Linked DNA regions of Arabidopsis thaliana. The protein of the gene in region 3 purifies or fractionates together with the protein of the main gene of each other region. This does not show direct contact. Each region holds a gene or a part of one and is shown on either strand. Other genes may lie near its edges.

Region 1 (6,727 bases), on a different chromosome or scaffold from region 3:
AGAAGAAATAAAAAGAGCTTAAGAGGCACTCGTTTATGAGTATAACTGTAATAAAATAAAAATACTAGTTGTAGTAAAAGAAATTAAAGATGTGTTATCGAAAAATTTCGTGTCATTTGAATACTCGCATAGCTAAAACTGGGATTGAGCTGAGAGAGAAAGCCTTTGCTCCAAACCAAGTGTTGATGCTGATGGGCCTTAGAGAAATAGGCCTATTATAAGTTTTACGGGCTTCATTATAGGTATGATTCGAGGAATTTAACAAATATTTCGTTGGAAAAAAACAACCAAATAGTTTTTCTTCTTCTTTTCATTGTCTTTTTCTGGTAACCAAAAAGTTTTGGAATTTACAGAAAATTCTTGTTTTGATATGATTAATATTAATATTTGAAGTGAAAAATTCTATTATAATGATTAATGCATAGTTAAAAAATTTACTAAGATATGAAGGCTTCAAATTCAATCATATACATATTTGGTAATCATATATGAATATTACTAATATTGATTTTTATTACTAACCAAGCATATAATATATGTTAACACATAACATGAATGAGAATGGTTTAAACGTTACTAATCAAATCCTATGTATGTAATAAATAATAATATATTTAGTCGGCTACCTCCCCACTATAGTCTATAAACTATATAGTACACACTCATTTTTTTCTAAAAGTGGCATTTTAAGTGGACTTTTCTTCTTAAGAAGCATGGTGTGGATCGTTTACTAAAACGATCATGTCATCATTTTCTTCTCTTTCATATATAGCATTAGATCAGAACGCTACAATTTTTCTAATAAAATTCCAAATTATATTGATACTCTCTAGGGTTCCTAGTTCTACAAAGTAAGTTCAAAAATTCAAACAATTCGAGTCATATATTTGTCTCTTGAATCTTGATATAACAGATTCAACACTAAAAATGAGTAAAATCTAAAAAAGGTGTCTATTTAGAAAGAGGAAAAAAAAGACATTGTTATTCAATGAGTTGGAGCATTTTGAGAAAACTATTAGTACAATGTTAATAATCACGCGTGCAGATATTTTCTTCTCGGATAATTTACTTTTATTTAGCAGAATTATTGATTGTAGGCGAATCTCCACATACTCCATCCATAACTTGGTGAGTCCCATCATAGTATTCACCGTACGATCCTTTCGTGGTCGATATTGCAACTGAGGAGTAATGTCCACCCAAAATCTCACTTGCGACCCATACCTAGTTCAACATTTGTGTTCATACTCGACATTTATAAACAAAAGTGCATACAAAATATAGTTATAAAAATGAAGTGTTATGGATATTTTTTTAACCGTTGATATGTTATGAACATATTTTCTTATAAAATTTAAATATATATGGGATAGATAACCATAAAGAATGCAGTTCCTTTTAAGGTACGGCTAAGATAGTGAATCTACCAAGCCTTCCTTTTCACACCAACTATGGATAAAATACACCCGACAAAATGATTAGTGGCCATAATGTGATTATAATGAGCATGAATGGGCAAACATGTCACATTTCTCCATTACTCAATGTCTACATAAACCCTCCAATCTCACATGTTAACTCGAAACAAAGAAGAAATAAACAGAGTAAAAAACTTAAAGCTTAAAATGGGGAGGCAGCTTTATACGACGACGGTTCTCTACTTAGTCACCCTACTCTTCATTTGCCGGACAATCTCAGCCGTCCGTTTCCCTCCGGAACAACCAACAACCGATGATCTAGATTTCATCCGTACGAGCTGCAACACAACGCTGTATCCAGACGTATGTTACACGTCTCTAGCTGGATACGCCTCCGCCGTCCAAGATAATCCGGCAAGGCTAGCTAAACTCGCAATCGGCGTTTCTCTCTCCCGCGCAAAATACACGGCGGCTTACCTCTCCAAACTCTCACGTCGCGCTGCCTCAGCTGCTGTCCACGACTGCGTTTCGAACGTGGGAGATGCCGTGGATCAGATGCGTGGCTCCCTAAGGCAGCTCCGAGAGATGAACCACCGTCGTCCCGGAGATCCGGCGTTTAGGTTTCAGATGAGTAACGTGCAGACGTGGATGAGCGCGGCGTTGACGGACGAGGAGACGTGTACGGATGGGGTCACGGAGGAGATGGAAGACGGAGAGACGAAGACGGCTATTTGCGATAGAGTCGCCGACGTCAAGAGGTTCACGAGTAATGCGCTCGCTCTCGTTAATACCTACGCCAACAATGGAGCCTAACTAACTAAGCTAGGTCTTGAAATTCCTAAAGTTATAAAAACACTTGTATATATATATGTGTTAAGTTGTGTGCTTAGTTTATAATGTGTATTCGAGGCTTTGAAACCGAGTTAGAACTCTGAGTTTGGGTGTTCAAATTATACATTAATCTATGTTTGATTGTATTAATATTAATATATGTCATATGTGTTTATATGGTGTGTGCTATATGAGTAATGAAGATAATTATACATGGTTTTGATGAGTAAATTTGATACATGAACCTGGTTTTTTTTTTTTTTTTTTTTTCTTTGATGAATTTGGATATGATATGGATGAATTTTGGCCATCATGTCTAAGGGGAACTGAAACCCGTGAGATGATTAGAACATCTGACTATGACCCCAAAGTTTGTCTATTAGTGGCCCACTCTAAAATCTTTACGAAAACAAGGTTTTGTCCTTTTTGTTCACGGGGATGCCAAAAAGCTTCCATACTCTGTTCACAGTTTCTATTTCAATCCCTATTGATAATGATTACACACATTCGCTTCACAGATTTTTCTAATTGAATTCCCTTTGAAATTTTCAACTCCCGCGCTGATTCCACAGTGATTCTTTCTTCTGCTAACTGTAGCATAATTAAATTAGTGACAATAATGAATGTTTAGCATTACCAATTACATAGTTTTCCCCTCATTATTAAGTGTGAAAATGAAATCAAAGCAGCAATAATTGTTCAACAAGAGAACAAAGTTTCACATAACACAATGCAGTAATAATAATAATACACAGTCGCTAATGTTATATCTTATCTCAGGACTAAGCAACAACACACACACAAATTCTAAAGTTTACAATCCAAATACTGAAAGAAATCCAAATAAATCTAATTAAGCTAAATTAAAGCACTCTCTTACTCTCTAAGAGATTCCATTTTTCAGTAACTAAAGATTCCGAAATTGCATAAGTACCGATTAATTCAGCACCCAACCGGAGCAACCACCGTCGGCTTCACCTTCGGAGGTCTCCCACGTCCCCTACGCTCACCTGTCGCCTGAGCTGCCGGTTCCGGCGCAGCAACCGTCTCCGAATCTGTTCTCGGTCTCTTCGGTGGTCGTCCTCGTGGCCTTCCAGATCCGGTAATGACCTTCTCCTGGGGAGGCTCCGATGGATCTTTCGGCTTCGGTGGACGGCCACGAGATCTAGGCGGATCTGTAGAGACGACGGTGGCAGCAACAACAGCAGCAGCAGCGGCGTCAGATTCGGCCTGAGTCTTCTGCTTCGGAGGACGGCCACGACCACGCTTAGGAGGAGCATCTGGATCTGGTTTCATATAATTGTTCTTCACCATGATTAGCTGACCGGTTTTCTTCATCTGGTTGAGATGGTAGCTGAGCAGCGTCATGTGTGACGGCGGTAGAGTTTGTTGAGTCGACTCGATGTGCTTAGCAATCGTCGTTTTGTTGCAGCCGTTCTTATCGTTCAAGGACTCAATCGCTTCCATTATCATCTAAACACAAATTTCAACCAAAATTTCAGAAACTAAATTGAGAGAGATTGAGAGATTTTAGGGGTGTACTTCACCTGAGGATAAGGTGGGAGAGAAAACGACGGAAGTTCTGATGAATGCGTATCTGAAGCTGAGCCATGGTGGAGATCGAAGGCCATGTCAAGCGTAGAGAGTGTGTGAGGTGATGAAGGAAGGAATCTGTGTGAGGAGGGATTTTAAAAAGCAATTTGGGAAAGTGGTTTTCTCATTATTCTCATATTAACTTGTAGTGTTGATCTGACGGTTGGGGTTTTCAAACTTACGGGTTGATCCAACGGCTCTGAGTTTATAGCAGCTTTCTCGAGCAGGATTACTGACGTGGACATATGGGAATGACTTCTGCTGACTATTACCCTTAAATTACCTAATTCTCCTCCAATCTTCCTTTTTTATTCAACGAATGGCCATTGGTTCAGCCTAGCTGGATTACTAGAACAGAAAACGACATACTACGTAGCGTTTTTGCTAATCATATTTCAAATTATTTTGTTAATGTAACACAATGAGTTATATATATCTTTCATTTTTTTTCCACCAATGAAAATTCATTTATATAATCAATCCCGAGGAGTCTTTCTCTATTAGCAGAACAAGATTTGCAAGACTAGAAGATGATGTGATTTTATTACTACTCACAAACAATAGAATCATATGAGACAAATAAAGCATTTTGAGAAATATACGAAGATGGGATCACAAGAAGCCCGTGCTGCCGAAGGGGTTGTTGCTGTTATGTTGCTCATGAGCACCTGCGTTTACCGGGAACTCCCCAAAACCCGTGGTGTTTTGCGGTTCTGAAACCGGGACTACTGGAAATTCCCCCAAACCGGTGGTCTTTGACGGTTCTGATACCGGGATTACTGGTAATGCCCCAAACCCAGTGGTGTTTTGTGGTGCTGAAACCGACACTACTGGAAATTCCCCAAAACCGGTGGTGTTTGATGGTTCTGAAGCCGGGGTTACTGGTAATGCCCCAAACCCAGTGATGTTTTGTGGTTCTGAAACCGGCACCACTGGAAATTCCCCAAACGCGGTGGTGTTTGGCGGTTCTGTAACCGGGACTACTGGAATCTCCCCAAAGCCGGTGGTGTTTGACGGCTCTGAAACCGGTACTGGAAATGCCCCAAAACTGGTGGTGCTTTGTGGTTCTGAAACCGGAACTATTGGAAACTCCCCAAAATCACCAAAAGGATTTGCAGGGCTGGGTGCAACCTGTAGCTGTGGCTGCTGCTCTTGTTGATGATAGGTTGGCTCATAGAGACCGAATGGGTTGTTTACGGCTGAAGGCGGTGAAACACTGTCTGAAAATGCAAACAGGTCTTGGACCTCAAACGGATTGGAAGCTGGGACGCCATAGGCAGGCTGTTGGGCTGCTCTCAAGGCTCCATCGTCATATAGACTGTTCAGGGTGAGCGTGTCTAATCCACCCGCCTTGCATTTGTTGCAGAAAAAAATGTTAATGATTCAGAAGCCACAAAATCAATTCCCCAGAGGTGACATACGTTAACAGGACAATGGTACGTAATTGATGCATCCCATTATCACTAATACAAGAATACATCTTACCAGCTGTCTCTCTGTGGCTGCAGATATATCATTGCTAGGTGTTGTGACCAACGCAAGCTCCCATCCTGACGGATCCAAATCTCTTGCTTGCCCAAAACTAAACGGCGAAGAATCAACTGGAAACAGAAACATAACCAGAATTGCGACTAAAGACAAGCAAGAAAGGCAAACTTAGAGCTCCAGTACATAGACCAAGAAGCTCACCATCATTGGAAACTAAGGCCAAAGCTAGTGCATTTTGGTCCAGGATTGCTAACGGATCAGGTGTATCATCATGCAGACCCTGTGTGTAATACTGAGAGAATCAGAGACAAAAGGATAACAATGACAGAATAAAGAAATCAAGACCATATGTAATAAGCATAATTTACCAATAGATCATCAGTATCAATGAAGTTCTGTGGAGTTTCTACTGAAGGAGGAGACTGGGAAGAAAGTTGCGTTTCTTCAGAGGGAACAACGGCACTATCTGAAGGCGATGATGTTTCATGTTCTTCATGTGAAGGTCCAACATCTTCAGAAGTAAGACCATCATCAGGCGTATAGGTCAGAAGCTGTATGTTGACAAAGTTTTTAGAAATAAGTTATAAAAGAAAAATCATGGTTTCTGTAGGAGTAGGACCACAATGAGAGTATATATGTACCAGTGGCCCAGATGTGACGTCGACCATCTGAGGTGCGTCTCTCATATATTCCTCCATTGTTGTAAGAAAAGATTGTGGAGGCTTGAAAAAAACAAAAATAGACTTATTTAGTATTGATAAAGTACCTGCCATCACAAATTTAAATGTAACAAACAAGTTATTATCTGATACCTCTCTTAAAACAGGAAACTGGAAATTCCTTGCAAGTTCTAATCCTTTGCATACTTCATAGAAGGCAGAAAGGTTGCCAGCCTGCATTGATAAACTAACCCTTGTTAAGTGAAATCTAAATTGATCTAACAGAGAAAATAACCCAACAACATTACCTGCAAACCCGCACGCTTGTATATTTCAAGGGCCTTGATGGCCTCATGTCTTGGCATTTCAAAGAACTGCAATATATGCATGTATAAAACAGTAAGAAATCAAAAAACACATGAAGGGAGAGAGTAACTCTGGGGGAAAAGAAAAAACTGGCCTACCTTCTCTACTAGATTGATAATTCCTTCATTGATGGCACAATACACTTTAAAACTCTCCTTCAATACCTGCATACACAATTTACAATAAGATCTCAGAGCTTAAATCAAGCTGTTCTTTCCAGATAGTATATATTTGACACAACACTAAGAACTAGCGGATATATGTAAATTATGCCCCCGAGTTTAGTTTAATGTACCAGGGAGAGTGCATATTGAATGATATGATTGTGCTTAGCAGCACCTTCTGGCTGAAAAAGTCGAAAGAGCAAAGTCA
Region 2 (7,331 bases), on a different chromosome or scaffold from region 3:
TTACCTTTTTAAGAACATTTATCATTATTTGCAAACTCCAACTAATTTATATTTTGCTCTATAGTTCTGAGGCAAATTATTTACAAACATGAATATCGATGTCCAAAATATCATAATAAATTGATGCTTTTAAGTTGTAGCAAAAAAAATAAAAATATATGTTTTACCATCCACACTCAAAGTCGTTAAGCTAGCTTTTCCATCAAATGATGATATTTAGTTTAGAAATTAATGAACATGCGGCATTAACTGTGAAAACCTCTTTGACGTAATTCATTAATTAAATTTTTCGAAAACGAAATATAATGTGAACATAGCATGCAATTGACGTTTAGTTATTACTTGTCATTTTCACGGGGCTATAGACAGTTTCTATTCTAAATTCTAAATTTCTTTGTTACTCTTATTCAAAAGTATTTTAGCTTTCTCAGAATACTTATCTTTTTCTAATCATAATTTATCATTTCTTATTTATATTTACTCTGGTTTCCAAAAACTAAATATCGATGTGCCAATTATCATACAAAAAATTGATGATATTAATAAGTAGATGAGTAGTAATTTTTTTAGCAAAAATAAAAATTACTAGTGTTTAATTATTCATGTTAAGAGTCTTTTAGGTTATCTTTTCCATCAACTTTAGAAATCATTAACTAAAACTTCATCAGATTGTAAACAAAACAACTATAATTTTGTTACAATGATAAATTCATCTAATAAACATGCAAGTTCCATCATTATAATTTTAGTTCCTTTCGCACAGAAGAAAACTTTTTCAATTAACATAAAAAAACTTGTTAAAACGCAATTTAGCCATCAAATAATTAAATTCTCAATGGCCAAGTCTTACTATACTCTAAAAATAGCAGAGTAGACTTAGCTCACCAAAAGACTAATTCAGATTTAATACCAAAAACAGAGAAAATCTCTCCTTTTAAACCCACTCTTCGCCCTTGAGGTTTAGCAAAGAGAACACACGACACGAGATGGGTCTCAAAGCCTCCCTTTCTCTCCTCTCCCTCACCATCTTACTCGTCTTCTCTAAGGTCGTTACGGCGAATAACATCACGCTGGCCTTTCAGAAATACTCCAAATTCAGCACCATGAGGGACCTCTTCATCAAGACCAAGCTCATTGCAGCCATCGACAAATACCAGACGATAACCGTGCTTGCTGTTAGCAATGACGCTATCAGCTCCATCACTAACAGATCCGAAGTTGAGCTCAGGAACATCCTCATGACTCATGTTATTCTTGACTACTACGATGAGCTTAAGCTTCAGGGGATGAGGGAGAAGAGTATAATGCTTACTACCTTATACCAAACCACCGGGTTGGGTGAACAGATGAATGGTTTCTTGAACGTTTCCAAATCAAAAGGAAGAGTTTACTTTGGATCGGAAGTGAAGAACTCTCCTTTAAACGCTGAGTATGTCTCGACGGTGTACCACAATCCATATAACCTCTCTATCATCCAGATTACCATGCCAATAGTGGCTCCTGGACTCAGCCTTGCAATTTTCCCACCTCCACCACCATACGTTCATGTAGCTCCATATCCAACTCCCATGGATGCTTCAGTGGTTCCAGCTCCAGGACCAGCTGCTGATGACAATTCCCCAGATTCTGCTGTCCCAAAAACTCCACCTGCACCTGCAACAGACACACCAGAGGCTGATTCTCCAGCTCCTGCTCCAAGCGCCGATAATGAGAAGATTGAAGCTGCTGATAAGGCTAAACCATCTTCTTCTGCTTCTAAGGCTGGTTGGAGCTTTGATGTTATTCTCTTGTTAGCATTTTTGGCTAGCTTTGCTGGGTTCTAAGATTCGGGTGATGTGGGTTAAAGACAATAATGGTAGGTGAGATTCAAAACAATTTTTCTGTAGCTTTTAGCCAAGAAGAGAGACACGGCCATTGGAAGTGAAAGAAACCTAAATGTAATGAGCTTTCTACTCATCATGCATTGTATTTATCAGCCATTTTGAATGCAAATGTGATGTTTGTCCTATTGATTTTGTAACACAGTTCTAATTGTGTTAGAACATGCTTTAACCAGTGCATAGATTGTTAGAACCATGCATGGTCCCAACAACAAAAAACACTTATGCATCGGTTTGCTTCAAGCAACGAGATGAATAATAAACTAGCCTTACAAATACGAGTTAACCCCAAAAACTACAGAGATCCTTCTCTATCAACTAATCATGCATTGCCAAACGACGAGACTGCACTTACAGTGCTCATACCGAAACAATAAAAGTGAACCTAACAAATCTGACATTACTCTAGAAAGTCTTCTGCAGAAACCTAATTGATTAAACTGAGACCGAGGCAGAAACAAAGAACAGATTCATTTGACTTTCTTTATGATGTCCTCGATGACTTCTTCCATATCAAGTGCCTTCATTGGTGCAAATGGACGTTTCATCTCCTACAAAATGAGATAAACATAATCTACATCTTTAGGTCTATGTTAAGATTGAAAGGCAAAAACATATTCATGATTTCTACTCACAATAACACATTTCTCGTAATGAATAAGGATCAAGTTGATTTTCATTCTCATATGCATATAGAGCAAGTGGTGTTATGAGAATTAGTAATAACAATAAACCTTACTCAAACTGAACAAATCATATGCAGAAGCGAGACAAATTGAGATTTGTTTTTATTAGAATGAAAGTTTTTACCAAAAGACTGATGAATGTTTGGCCACCTTCCTCCCGGATCTCAAAGCAACCCCGCCTTGGCTGTTCAAGCACATCAAAAGAAAGAATTAGTAATTTAGAAGAAAATCTTATCAAGTATAATGTGAAAAGTATGCTCTAACGCATTAGTCAAAACGGAGCATTCATGACGATATATTCATCTGCAGTAAAAGCATTACCTTTTCAGGATTAAGAGACACCGTGACGCCAGGAACAGCTCCCTCCAAAGCTTCCTTCACCTGAATAGCTCTTGTCTTGAAAGCATTGCATTGTTTACTTCAATAACATCACAAAACAAAACAAAAAAGAACTCTTGTGAGACATAAGTATAGAAGCAAATTCCATTTATAGAATGAACACGTCCATTACGCATTGCAATTCAGCTAAAGCAAGACAAGAACACAAACAGAAAGCAGATAGTCAAGTCCTCTTCACAAATGCGAGCAAAACATAAACCACTAATCACTCAAACCAAAAACTTATGCAGAATCAAGATGAAAACCTAACACATTGTTCCACCCTAGCAAATAAACCTTAGCTGCTACACACGGACACACAAGTCTCAACACATACCCCAAAGTTGTAGGCTTTTAGATTCAATTTCAAAGAAAAAAACCTAAATTTTTGCTCTTATGATTCCAAACATTATCTCTAAAGAAATCGAAAACATTTACGCAAAAATTACCAGTGTTCTATAACAATCTTGGTTCTCGTAGGGTCCTCAACCTCTGGCTCTTCCTTCTCAACCTCCTCCTCAACGGCTTCCTCTGGCTCTTCAACTTCCTCTTCCTTCTTTCCCTTCTTGGCTCTCCCAGTCTCAATCGCTGAATTCTTCCTCTTAGCCTTCTTCGTCGCCGGCTTAGTGGCGGATCCAGCCGCTTTAGCACCGTTTTGTTGAGTCTGACTTCGAGTTCGACTGTCCATGCTCCGAGTCACTCTAGACGACGCCAACGTCGTTAAAGGTTTCGCCTTTTCTTCTCCATCTGCCTTACTCTTCTTCGGCGGCATTGTACGGACAGCAACAGGGTTTCGTCTTAACAATCTTCTTCTCCTTCTTCTCCGTCTCTGTCTTACCGCTCTTTCTTACTTTTTTGTTGTTTGATATTCCCTTTTGTGTTTGCTTTTTTCTTACCTTGGAAAAGTAATTCGAATAAACGGTAGAGATTTAACCTACAAGGGTTATTAAAAGGTTGACCGTTAGATTGCAGGGGTTATGATTATGTATTCTCAATGCCCAATAGTGCGCTACTGCTGTATCACACGACACATCCACGTGCTTCGAAACGCTGTGGTGTTTTGCCTCTAAAACGCACAACTACTTACCGTTTTGATTGGATAGAATGATTTTATTTTAATTCCACTTCTCTTTTTTACCTACATTATTTTGATTCCAATTCATTTGGCTTTTTCTAAACTCAAAATAAACTGAAACACTTTATCATATTTATTAAGAAATATTGATTTTCTGATACATAAAGTAAGATAAAAGTCTGTATATCCTTCTAGCTTTTTAGCATTTTGGTCACTGCGGACAATTTTAAGAGATTTTACTAAAAGTATCGTCCAATCCTTTTGTAGGTTTTTATGACTCAAGCCATCAATCCAAATTTCCAATATATGATGATAGTTGAAGTATTTGGATGTAGTAATGCTAAAATGTAATATGTTAATAAGTCGCATACTCATGGTGAACAAACATTCATCCATTATGGTGACATTTTTGTTTGTTTGTTTGTATAATAAAATGCAGGGGGAAGCTTTTGCAACAATGTGTGCATGTTGGAGAAATCTCAGTTAGCACTTTCACAACCAAGCTCCATGGGAAGATCTTTTGGACCTAAATATTTTAGAACTTGTTCATCACATCACAACCATCATCTTCAGTCTTCACTGTTACTCTATTTGTCTGTCTTTCACATATTAGCAAGTTGGTGAAATCTTGATTGGTTGATCCTGATCCCATAACAAATTACACTAATCTCACACAACGACGAACCCTCTTACAAGGTTGGTAGCATGCTAAACGTATGGAAAAATTTGGGAATCTTTTCTAAAAAAATAAGAAACTTGTATATATTTTTTTTCAACACAAACTTGTATTCTAAATCTACATAACGATGTAAAAACAAGTTGAATTTGTGGAATCGCTAACTATCAATGACGGGATCCAAAACCGGTTATTCAACATCGTCTTGTAAATTTATTATCCAAATTTCCATTGTTTAAAATCTGGTCTTGTAAATTTATTATCCAAACATAACCCAACATCGTCCATTATTATCCAACTCTGTCTAAACACTGAAACAAGAAACCGAACATGATCCATATGTCTAGAGATTTTTGAACTGTGGGTACCAAAGAAGGATCAATGTTCTAATCTCAAGTCTCAATCTAAAGTTTGAAGTCGTGGGTACCATTTTTCATCAACCAAAACATAAGCCAATCCAATCCAATCTTTTGTCTAAAGGATTGGTTACTTCGAACCTCAAGTCTCTGACTATTTTAAGCCGTGGGTAACTTGATCTTTGTCTAAAGACTGACACAAGAGACCGAACATGATCCATATGTCTAAAGATATTCAAGCCGTGGGTACCAAAAGAATCAATGTTGGAATCTCAAGTTTCAGTTCACTCGAAAGACTAAAGTTTAAAGCCGTGGGTACCATTTTCCTTGCACCAAACATAACCAAATCCAATCTTTTTGACAAAAGATTGGTTACTTTCGAACCTCGAGTCTCTGTCTAAAGACATAATGTTTTAAGCCGTGGGTATTCTTTTGTCTAAAGATTGAAACAAGACACCGAACATGATCCATATGTGTAGTGAGTTTCAAGTCGAGGGTACCAAGAAGGATCAACAGAAACTTGTATTATAAATCTACTTAACGATGGGAAGACAAGCTGAATTTTTGGAATCGCTAACGATCAATGATGGGATCCAAAATCCGGTTAGTTTAACATCGTCTTGTAAGTTTATTATCCAAATTTCCATTGTTTAAAATTATAAGTCTCTGTCTAATGACTTATAATGTTTTAAGCCGTGAGTGTTTCTTTATCTAAAGATTGAAACAAGAAACTGAACATGATCCATTTGTCTAGTGATTTTCAAGCCGTGTGTACCAAGAAGGATCAATGTCGAATCTCAAGTCTCAGACTAAGTTTGAAGCCGTGGGTACCATTTTCCGTGCACCAAACATAACCCAATCCAATCTTTTGTCTAAAGGATTGGTTACTTCGAACCTCAAGTCTCTGTCTTAAGACTTTCTTAAGCCGTGGGTAACTTGATCTTTGTCTAAAGACTGAAACAAGAAACCGAACATGATCCATATGTCTAGAGATTTTAAAGTCGTGGCTAACAAGAAGGATCAATGTTCACTCTCAAGTCTTAATCTTAATACCAAAGTTTGAAGCCGTGGGTACCATCTTCCTTCCACCAAACATAAGCCAATCCAATCTTTTGTCTAAAGAATTGGTTATTTTGAACCTCAAGTCTCTGTGTAAAGACTTTTTTAAGCCGTGGGTAATATGATTTTTGTCTAAAAACTGACACAAGAAACCGAACATGATCCATATGTCTAGATATTTTCAAGCCGAGGGTACCAAGAAGGATCAATGTTCAGTCTCTAGTCTCAGTCTAAAGACTAAGTTGGAAGCCGTGGGTACCATCTTCTTTCCACCAAACATAACCCAATCCAATTTTTTGTTTAAAGGATTGGTTACTTCGAACCCCATGTCTCTGTCTAAAGACTGTTTTAAGCCGTGAGTAACTTGATCATTGTCTAAAAAGTGAAACAAGAAACCGAACATGATCCATATGTCTAGATATTTTCAAGCCGAGGGTACCAAGAAGGATCAATGTTCAGTCTCAAGTCTCAATCTAAAGACTAAAGTTTGAAGCCGTGGGTACCATTTACCATCCACCAAACATAACCCAATCCAATCTTTTGTCTAAAGAATTGGTTATATTGAACCTCAAGTCTCTGTGTAAAGACTTTTTTAAGCCGTGGGTAACTTGATTTTTGTCTAAAAACTGACACAAGAAACCAAACATGATCCATATGTCTAGATATTTTCAAGCCGAGGGTACCTAGAAGGATCAATGTTCAGTCTCAAGTCTCAGTCTAAAGACTAAGTTAGAAGCCGTGGGTACCATCTTCCTTCCACCAAACATAACCCAATCCAATCTTTTGTCTAAAGAATTGGTTACTTCGAACCCCATGTCTCTGTCTAAAGACTGTTTTAAGCCGTGAGTAACTTGATCATTGTCTAAAAAGTGAAACAAGAAACCGAACATGATCCATATGTCTAGATATTTTCAAGCCGAGGGTACCAAGCAGGATCAATGTTCTGTCTCAAGTCTCAATCTAGAGACTAAAATTTGAAGCCGTGGGTACCATTTACCTTCCACCAAACATAACCCAATCCAATCTTTTGTCTAAAGAATTGGTTATATTGAACCTCAAGTCTCTGTGTAAAGACTTTTTTAAGCCATGGGTAACTTGATTTTTGTCTAAAAACTGAGACAAGAAACCGAACATAATCCATATATCTAGATATTTTCAAGCCGAGAGTACCAAGAAGGATCAATGTTCAGTCTCAAGTCTCAGTCTAAAGACTAAGTTAGA
Region 3 (7,763 bases):
TATTTCAGAAAATATTTCACTCGTGAAGAGAAGAGAAGGCGTTATTATTTTAAGTAATTTCACTCGTTGGACATGTGTAAGGTTGTATTTGAATCTTCATTCAGAATAAGGTTGTATTTGAATCGATTTTCTTGGTTTACAAATGAAAACCTTTAACCAAGAAGTAGAAAACTCTTTCATCAAATTCACTTATACATATAAATAACCAATTATAACCCAATAATTTATTCTTTATAATCCGATTATTCCTCATGTGCTAATAGTTTGTGTCCGGAATCACGGATTGAAAAATAAAAAGTAAGAAAAATAGTGACAGATAAAAAATCATACAAATATTTGTCTCTTTCTTCAGACGACCCATTGGTCTCTGTCTCTCTCTCAAGTCTCATCTATAGAGTTACCTTTTTATACACTGTGTAAAACAATAAGTCCCTTTCTCCTCTTTAATTTCTCTTCCTTTTTTTGTGTCTTAAATGGAAAATATATGATTTCTGATGATCAGTCTCACGACTCTCATCTCTTTCTCTTTCTCTATAAATGACCTATTATGATGTTTATGCAGCTATATATATGGACATTTGTGTCTGTATTTTTCTATCCATCTTCTCATTCTATAGTAGAAAAGAGGAAAAACACAAAAGACAACAGTAGAAAAGGAGAAAGAAAGAAAAAATCTCACTTTGATTTCTTCTACTTATATCTCTCATCTTGCAAAAAAGCAAGAGGTCTCTTCTTATTTTGCAGGTTGTTCCTCTTTGCCTCACCATATTTGAACAACATCATCATCACTGAATCTATCCTTTTTTGTAGCACCTACCTCACCACTTTGCAGTACAAGGAAGTAGCCAAGTGCTAATTCTATCTCTCTTTTTAGTTATTTATTATATATATCCTTTAACCAGAAAAAGTTATTTATTATAAATAACTTAAAACCTAATCTTTGCCCTAAATCACTCAACTCGATCTGGAGAAAGAACCCTAATTTGGAAACATATCTAAAAAGCTATGGATTTGATCTCTCAAAACCACAACAACAGAAACCCTAATACCAGTCTCTCGACGCAAACCCCTTCTTCCTTTTCTTCTCCACCTTCCTCTAGCCGCTACGAGAACCAGAAACGCCGTGACTGGAACACTTTCTGCCAATACCTCAGAAACCACCATCCACCGCTCTCTCTAGCTTCTTGCAGTGGCGCACACGTCCTCGATTTTCTGCGTTACCTTGACCAATTCGGCAAAACCAAAGTCCACCACCAAAACTGCGCCTTCTTTGGCCTCCCAAATCCACCGGCTCCTTGTCCTTGTCCTCTCCGACAAGCCTGGGGCTCACTCGACGCCCTCATTGGTCGTCTCCGTGCAGCCTACGAGGAGAACGGTGGCGCTCCCGAGACTAGCCCTTTTGGCTCACGGTCCGTCAGGATTTTCCTCAGGGAGGTTAGAGATTTCCAGGCTAAGTCACGTGGTGTTAGCTATGAGAAGAAGAGGAAAAGGGTCAACAACAAGCAAATAACTCAGTCCCAACCACAGTCCCAACCGCCTTTACCCCAGCAGCCACAGCAGGAGCAAGGTCAGTCTATGATGGCTAATTACCACCACGGTGCAACTCAATAATGTCGTATAACTTTATGTATGCTCGCATCTAGCTATTTATATCTACGTATCAACCTTTGTATTCGTGTAACGCAATCCCTATTCTCCTCCACCCACTGTTAATTTATATCATTGTTTCTTAATTAGACCTATTGTTTTGTTTTTCTTATAATCAATAAATGAAAAGAACTTGGATTTTATTTGGCTTATATATGATTATGTCATGGCCTCTTTTATATATTATATTGTCTAGATGATGAATTGATGATAATCGAGATTTTATAAAATTCGAATCATGAACATGAAGTGATATTTGTTGTCAGCTTGGATATTAATTAAGTGATATATCGATCGATATCATATGACGACTTCTGTTAGATTTAATATTTCTGTAAGGTCATAATTATGAATATAATATACTAGTTACTTGTTAGGGTTTATACTATGCATGAACATATACTTATAAATTTCAATTTCATCCACTCAAACGTGAAGCTTAACGTACAATTATTTTTCTGATAAATTAAACGGCTATATTTCTTCAGATTATTTTTGATACATATATTTTGTCTAATATATTTACGGATTTTCTTCATCTCCATGTCATTAATGTGTTCACCGTTAACTTCTTGTTTCGGCCGCATAGCTAAGAGAAAAATATCGAAATGTGTATTTTATTGGTTTAGTATATTTTCCCCAATATGATGTTTGACTAAACATGAGTGTGTGAGAGAATGTTGCACAAAATTGAAATTTGAAAGGCAAATCTAAAACGCATCTATAATTGCAAAAAGACAAAATATGATCATAGTTTCAATTATTGATGACAGCTAATCTTGTTACACAAATTTCTTCCCAATTTGTTATTAGCGGAACGTCGATTTGACAATTTTAGAATATTAAAAATTTTCATCAGAACATATTTCTCACAAAATTATGTGTTTGATATGTCACTATCGATTTCAAACTCATATAATATTCTGTAAAAAAGACAAAAATATTAAACGGATTGATTCCTTTTTTCGCTTGTGTTTTAAATTCAGAAACGTCGCTGTTAACATATTGATCGGATGCTCTTTGCTTTTACCAACAGTGACATTTAAATGTAGTGACCTACCGTTTTGGATCTGTGGGCTGTGAACTTGTGATATGCATTGTCGACAATTTTTGTTGAAAGATGTTATAAATCTATTTAAATTATTATCTGTAACTATAGTTGAAACTCTGAGTTCGAATTTTTAACTTGCATTGACAAATAGTATATGAGATGTATAAATTGATGTTACACGAATTGGAATTGATTACCAAACAGTGATGTAACCGGTTTTGCGCTCATCTCTGTAATGTGGTTCCCCCTTCAATAAAAGCAACGTAGAATAGAACAGTTTGGTCTCGGGGCACTCAAGGCAAGAGTTTAAAATCGTATGGACGAGTTTCGTCGACATTGGCTCAGGCTAATAGGGGACTAAGAAACGTGGACAAATGAAAATGATGTGTCCGTACGAGGTAGGCTTTGAATGTAGCTGTAAGAAATATTATTATTTAAACATTTTGTTGTAAGATTATGATTTTTTTTGCATAATTTAGCACCACATGTGGTTATTCCCTATTTGGGAGGGCCCTTGTTATACAGTCTTTTGGATTTATTTCTGATCCTCTTGCACATTTTTGAACAGAGTCGTCGTTTATATAAATGTAGTACTTGTGCAATATTTCTAAGAATTTCAAAAATATTTTCAGATTCTCTGGTTAAAACTTAAAAGCTACCAGAAAAGTTGTTGGTAAAATGGTTTAAACTACTTAGTGAATAACATTGAACCAGGTTTAATCCGGTTTAGCCACGTTCTCAATTGATCGTCTATTGGTGTAGTCTCGTCTGATTTAGGAACCCATAGGCTTTTTGTGAAGATACTATTGGGCCTCAGCCCAATAATTAGAAAACCGTAAATTTCCAATTTAAGTGGGAAAACAAATTAAAAAAAAAGAATAAACAAAATTTGAGGTTTCGATTTTGCGATTCGGCGATTTGCTTCTCCGATGTCAATCCCACCATCTTCAGGTTCTTCTTCTTCATCTTCCTCGTCTCAGTACACATACGCAGCTAATTCTTACTATTCCGCTCCGTATCAGCCTCCACAGCCTTACGCGGCGGCGCCTTCGCCTGCTGTACCGGCGCCTGTGGCATCCATTCCCGGAGCTACGGTCTATCCTCAGCCTGTTGGACCGGTTCCTGCCGTCTACGCTTACCCTCAGTACCAACAGGTTAGTTGGATTTGAAAAATCAGGAGTTTGATTCGTGGCGTTGTGTATTTATGATTCTGGGTTCGAATTAGGGTTTGCGAAATCTCTCTCCTTTGATTTTAGGGGTTTAATGTTGTTTTTGATATTGAAGTTTCTCGTTATGATTGTGTAATGCTTGTCACTCATGGATCTCACATGTTTTACAGTTAAAGATTTGTTCTTTGGATTTGATTTTACTTGTTTTGTGAAATTTCTGCCAAGTTTAGGTTTAAGGTAGAAAGTTGGTATCTTCATTGTTGTTTGATTCGGTTGTATTTATTGGCAGGCACATCAATTGTTCCAAAGAGATGCACAGACAATTACACCAGAAGCTCTTGAGAATGTAAAAGCTGCTTTGGCAAGTAGTGAAACCGAACACAAAGCAGAAACTAAAAAGAGAGCCATTCCTCGTAAAGCTGCTGGACAGTCTTGGGAGGATCCTACTCTTTCAGAATGGCCAGAAAGTAAGCTCTGCTCGTCTTTTTCTTCTTCTTTCCCTTGATTTTGCTGATTGTTGTTTTAGTTTACGGGATGGTATCATAGTTGTTCATAGGTAGGATTTTAGATGTTTTCTTCTCTGTTGTTAAAATAGATTTCTTATATCTTTCTAACATTTGGCAGATGACTATCGTCTGTTCTGTGGTGATCTTGGGAACGAAGTGAATGATGATGTTCTTTCCAAAGCATTTGCTAGATTCCCCACCTTCAATATGGCCAAGGTAACTGTGTATATCTCTCCTCCTTTTCGGCTTTAGTGATTATTCATATCTGGTTTCCTATGAACATATATTTGAGAACATTAGTCATGTGATTGTAGTCAACTGTGATGCATTTGCAAACCAAAACACATAGTATGTTCAGAACAGAGCATGGTTGACCTTAGATCATACGGATCATTCTTACTCGAATCACAAAGATAAGTATTCAGTGTTAGTTTTGTGGTCAAACTCGTACCAGAAAAATAAGAGTCTTATTTACCATGACAGGTCATTAGAGATAAGCGGACTGGTAAAACCAAGGGTTATGGGTTTGTGAGTTTCTTAAATCCTGCGGATCTAGCAGCAGCCTTAAAAGAAATGAATGGTAAGCACCTTGTTTTTAGTTTCTGTTTGATGTGTTGCTTCATCTTGATATCTCATCTCACTGTTTTTGTCAGAACTTGTTATATGATTCTGTTCTATAATCACTGTCGTTGAACATTCTGATTTGGTCCACTGATTTCATATGAATACACAGGTAAGTATGTTGGAAATCGTCCGATAAAACTACGAAAGAGTAGCTGGAAAGAGAGAACAGATCAGGAGGCTGCTGAAAGACAAAAGGCAAGTATCTTGACTCGAACGTTTTGATAGATACATTTGCAAAGGATTTTATTTTTATGAGTATCTAATTCTTGATTATAACTGATGGTTCTCTGTTTGATTGTAAATGCAGCATCACAGCAATAAGAAGCAAAAAACTGTGAAGAAGAGCATACTTCACAAGTGACGATCTCTTTTATTTTTGTGGCTTAAAATTTCCAAACCTGTTACTCATAAATATAAATGAACAAACATTATCATTAGTTTTGTTGAAAACGGTATGGTTATGTATTGTTGGGCTGCTATGTTTAGCTTTAGCCCCAACCGGTGGTATTTACTTTATGAAAACGTGTGTCCACAATAGGCTCGAGCACAAACTTTTCTTACATCTTTTTCACTCCATTAAAACGTTCAAGTGGTCTGAGCATATTACAAGAAAATCAATATTACTATTTAAGGATCGATTATAAGAAAGAAGATGTATACTATCTAACATAGTTTTTTGGTAGTTATGTAAAGAAAGAGTTGGAATTTCTAGGCATCATACATCTTCTAAGGTGATGTTATAACCCGAATGGGTTCTTTATCAGCGTTTTCGTTACACATACTTTACTCCAATCTGTAATTTAAATTTACCAGTAACACTTTAATTTTACGAAAATGTCTCACATTTCCTGAAGTTACTCAAAGTCATTTTTTTTTCCTTCTTTTTTTGTGTTATTGTTTTTCTTTAAACTTTCTAAAATATATTCCACATTAACAGCTCAACAAATTATGCCCTAAATATGTGAATCGGCTAGCAATGGGTCTAAACATAGCAATTCAGTGGTGTTTGTTTTGTGAAAATACGTCTAATGCAAAGAAAGTTAATCACCAATTTATTGATGCGTTGTAGATATTTTTCTTCTTTGTAAAAGTGATCTTTCTAATAAACATAACATGGTTTCTTTTACTACAAAAAAAAAAAAAACTGAAAATTAACATATGTAGCGAAAGAGACAAAGAGTAGTTATGCGAAATGGAGAAATTATAGATATCTGGCAACATCATTGAATCCGCCTTGATATATATTTTTCACATAGGTTGTGATGATTCTGTATGTAACATATGTATGTAAATATTATTTGACAACGATAGACTAAAATATGTAGACAGTTTGAGTATACTAATTGCATTTATTAGAGGAGCTTTGACGACTATCAGACTTGGGTGAATGGAGGAGAAGATAGGCAATCACTAGAAACTAATAAAGTAAACATTATTGAGTTTTGTCAACGACAAACTGAATAGAGATTGAAAAAAAAAAAAAAATCTAAAAAAACAAGAAAAGACTGATGCAAAAAAAAAAAATTGTCGAATCAAGAATAATGTGAACCGCTCCTGCATGCATAGGTCCCCTGTATGAAAAACTCGTGTTGCTTGACTTCTTGGCATCGTAGTAAGCGGTGTTCGTAGCTCCCACTATAAAATCGTCAATCGGCTGGAAATCACGGTTGTTAACCACGATTTCCAGATCGCGCATATAAGCAGTTTTGGCACTATTCGAAAGGTATCCAGATCCCATCTGAGTAGTCGTGTGTCGGCCAGATAAATTGGCGTTTACTATCTCACCGCCCCATTTCACCTCTTCTGCATAATTGTTGAGGCAAGTAAAGATCTCGGTCGGCCAATAGCCAACTGGTGTAAGTACAATGTCATTGGCCGAACCGACAGACAACCACCAATGTCCGAGGTTTTTAATATGTAAATCATTATCTAATTAATATTTTGTACATAACTTTCAACATACAGTAAGACTTTTTATATATAACTGGATTATTGTGTGTTATTTTACTCTCATTATAATGTGCCGGATTATTGTGGTCAAATTAGTCTCTCAAATTTTCTTCCAGTTTCGATTTTGATGGAAGTGACGGTTTTATAAATATATTTTAATATATATTTAAGCAAAACATAAGGAAAAAAAAAACAAAAATTGAGCAAAACATAACATTTTTATTTAATATCAAATTCATGATTTAAAAAATAAATAGAAATGTTAAAATTAAAACAACTATTGACTAATTAAGACACTTAAAAAAGAGGTAACAATACAAATTAAATAACTTCTTGGTCTCAAATTTACCTAATTTATTTTATATCACTATTAGCTGATCTTCAATATTTATAGATAAATATTTATGGTGGAAATTAATGGAATATGTATTAAAATTCTCTGGTGAATTTGGTCAAAGATAATTTTTATTTCTAACATAAACTGTAAATTGACCAAATGCAAAGCTTTTTGAACCAAAAGAAAAATCTTGCCCCAGTGGCTTCAATGAAAAAGTATTTTGTAAGACATACATATTAATTCATGCATTGTATTGATTACTTTTTTACTAAACTACATTTTCTAAACTATAAGAGATGATCACATTGGTCTTAAGTTCGCATTTGTAAAAGTAAAATTTAATTGTTACAAACGGAAAAAACCACTTCTACCAAGTAAATTCTTTTTACAACCCAAAAAAAAAGCAAATAAGTTCTAAAATTCGGTCACCTAGTTTTCAGAAACCCACGAACTTCGACAAGGAAGTTGTTGAGGTTCTT

The links.
Region 1: the proteins of AT3G04500 (region 3) and HMGA fractionate together in Arabidopsis thaliana (co-fractionation; one large-scale study listed by BioGRID). This does not show direct contact.
Region 2: the proteins of AT3G04500 (region 3) and AT4G31360 fractionate together in Arabidopsis thaliana (co-fractionation; one large-scale study listed by BioGRID). This does not show direct contact.

Annotation. Positions count from the first base shown.
Region 1 is NC_003070.9:5,135,474-5,142,200, forward strand, and holds HMGA (high mobility group A), read right to left. Parts: upstream 3,995-6,727; 5' UTR 3,881-3,994; coding exon 3,797-3,880; intron 3,723-3,796; coding exon 3,192-3,722; 3' UTR 2,643-3,191; downstream 1-2,642. Other genes in the region: AT1G14890 (Plant invertase/pectin methylesterase inhibitor superfamily protein), read left to right, coding at 1,572-2,231; AT1G14910 (ENTH/ANTH/VHS superfamily protein), read right to left, coding at 4,455-5,192, 5,328-5,443, 5,532-5,610, 5,699-5,881, 5,972-6,052, 6,143-6,223, 6,298-6,363, 6,454-6,519 and 1 more. UniProt on the Arabidopsis thaliana protein: Binds A/T-rich DNA with a highly dynamic distribution into the nucleus.
Region 2 is NC_003075.7:15,218,330-15,225,660, reverse strand, and holds AT4G31360 (selenium binding protein), read right to left. Parts: upstream 3,819-7,331; 5' UTR 3,717-3,818; coding exon 3,394-3,716; intron 2,985-3,393; coding exon 2,888-2,984; intron 2,751-2,887; coding exon 2,691-2,750; intron 2,432-2,690; coding exon 2,351-2,431; 3' UTR 2,034-2,350; downstream 1-2,033. Other genes in the region: FLA5 (FASCICLIN-like arabinogalactan protein 5 precursor), read left to right, coding at 987-1,823; AT4G31355 (uncharacterized protein), read left to right, coding at 5,839-5,964; AT4G31354 (uncharacterized protein), read right to left, coding at 6,316-6,513.
Region 3 is NC_003074.8:1,209,660-1,217,422, reverse strand, and holds AT3G04500 (RNA-binding (RRM/RBD/RNP motifs) family protein), read left to right. Parts: upstream 1-3,515; 5' UTR 3,516-3,627; coding exon 3,628-3,852; intron 3,853-4,156; coding exon 4,157-4,334; intron 4,335-4,491; coding exon 4,492-4,589; coding exon of another isoform or gene 4,590-4,625; exon of another isoform or gene 4,626-4,687; coding exon of another isoform or gene 4,688-4,747; exon of another isoform or gene 4,748-4,856; coding exon 4,857-4,953; intron 4,954-5,106; coding exon 5,107-5,192; intron 5,193-5,304; coding exon 5,305-5,358; 3' UTR 5,359-5,661; downstream 5,662-7,763. Other genes in the region: THA2 (threonine aldolase 2), read left to right, coding at 9-26; LSH2 (LIGHT-DEPENDENT SHORT HYPOCOTYLS-like protein (DUF640)), read left to right, coding at 1,006-1,611; AT3G04490 (exportin-4 protein), read right to left, coding at 7,710-7,763.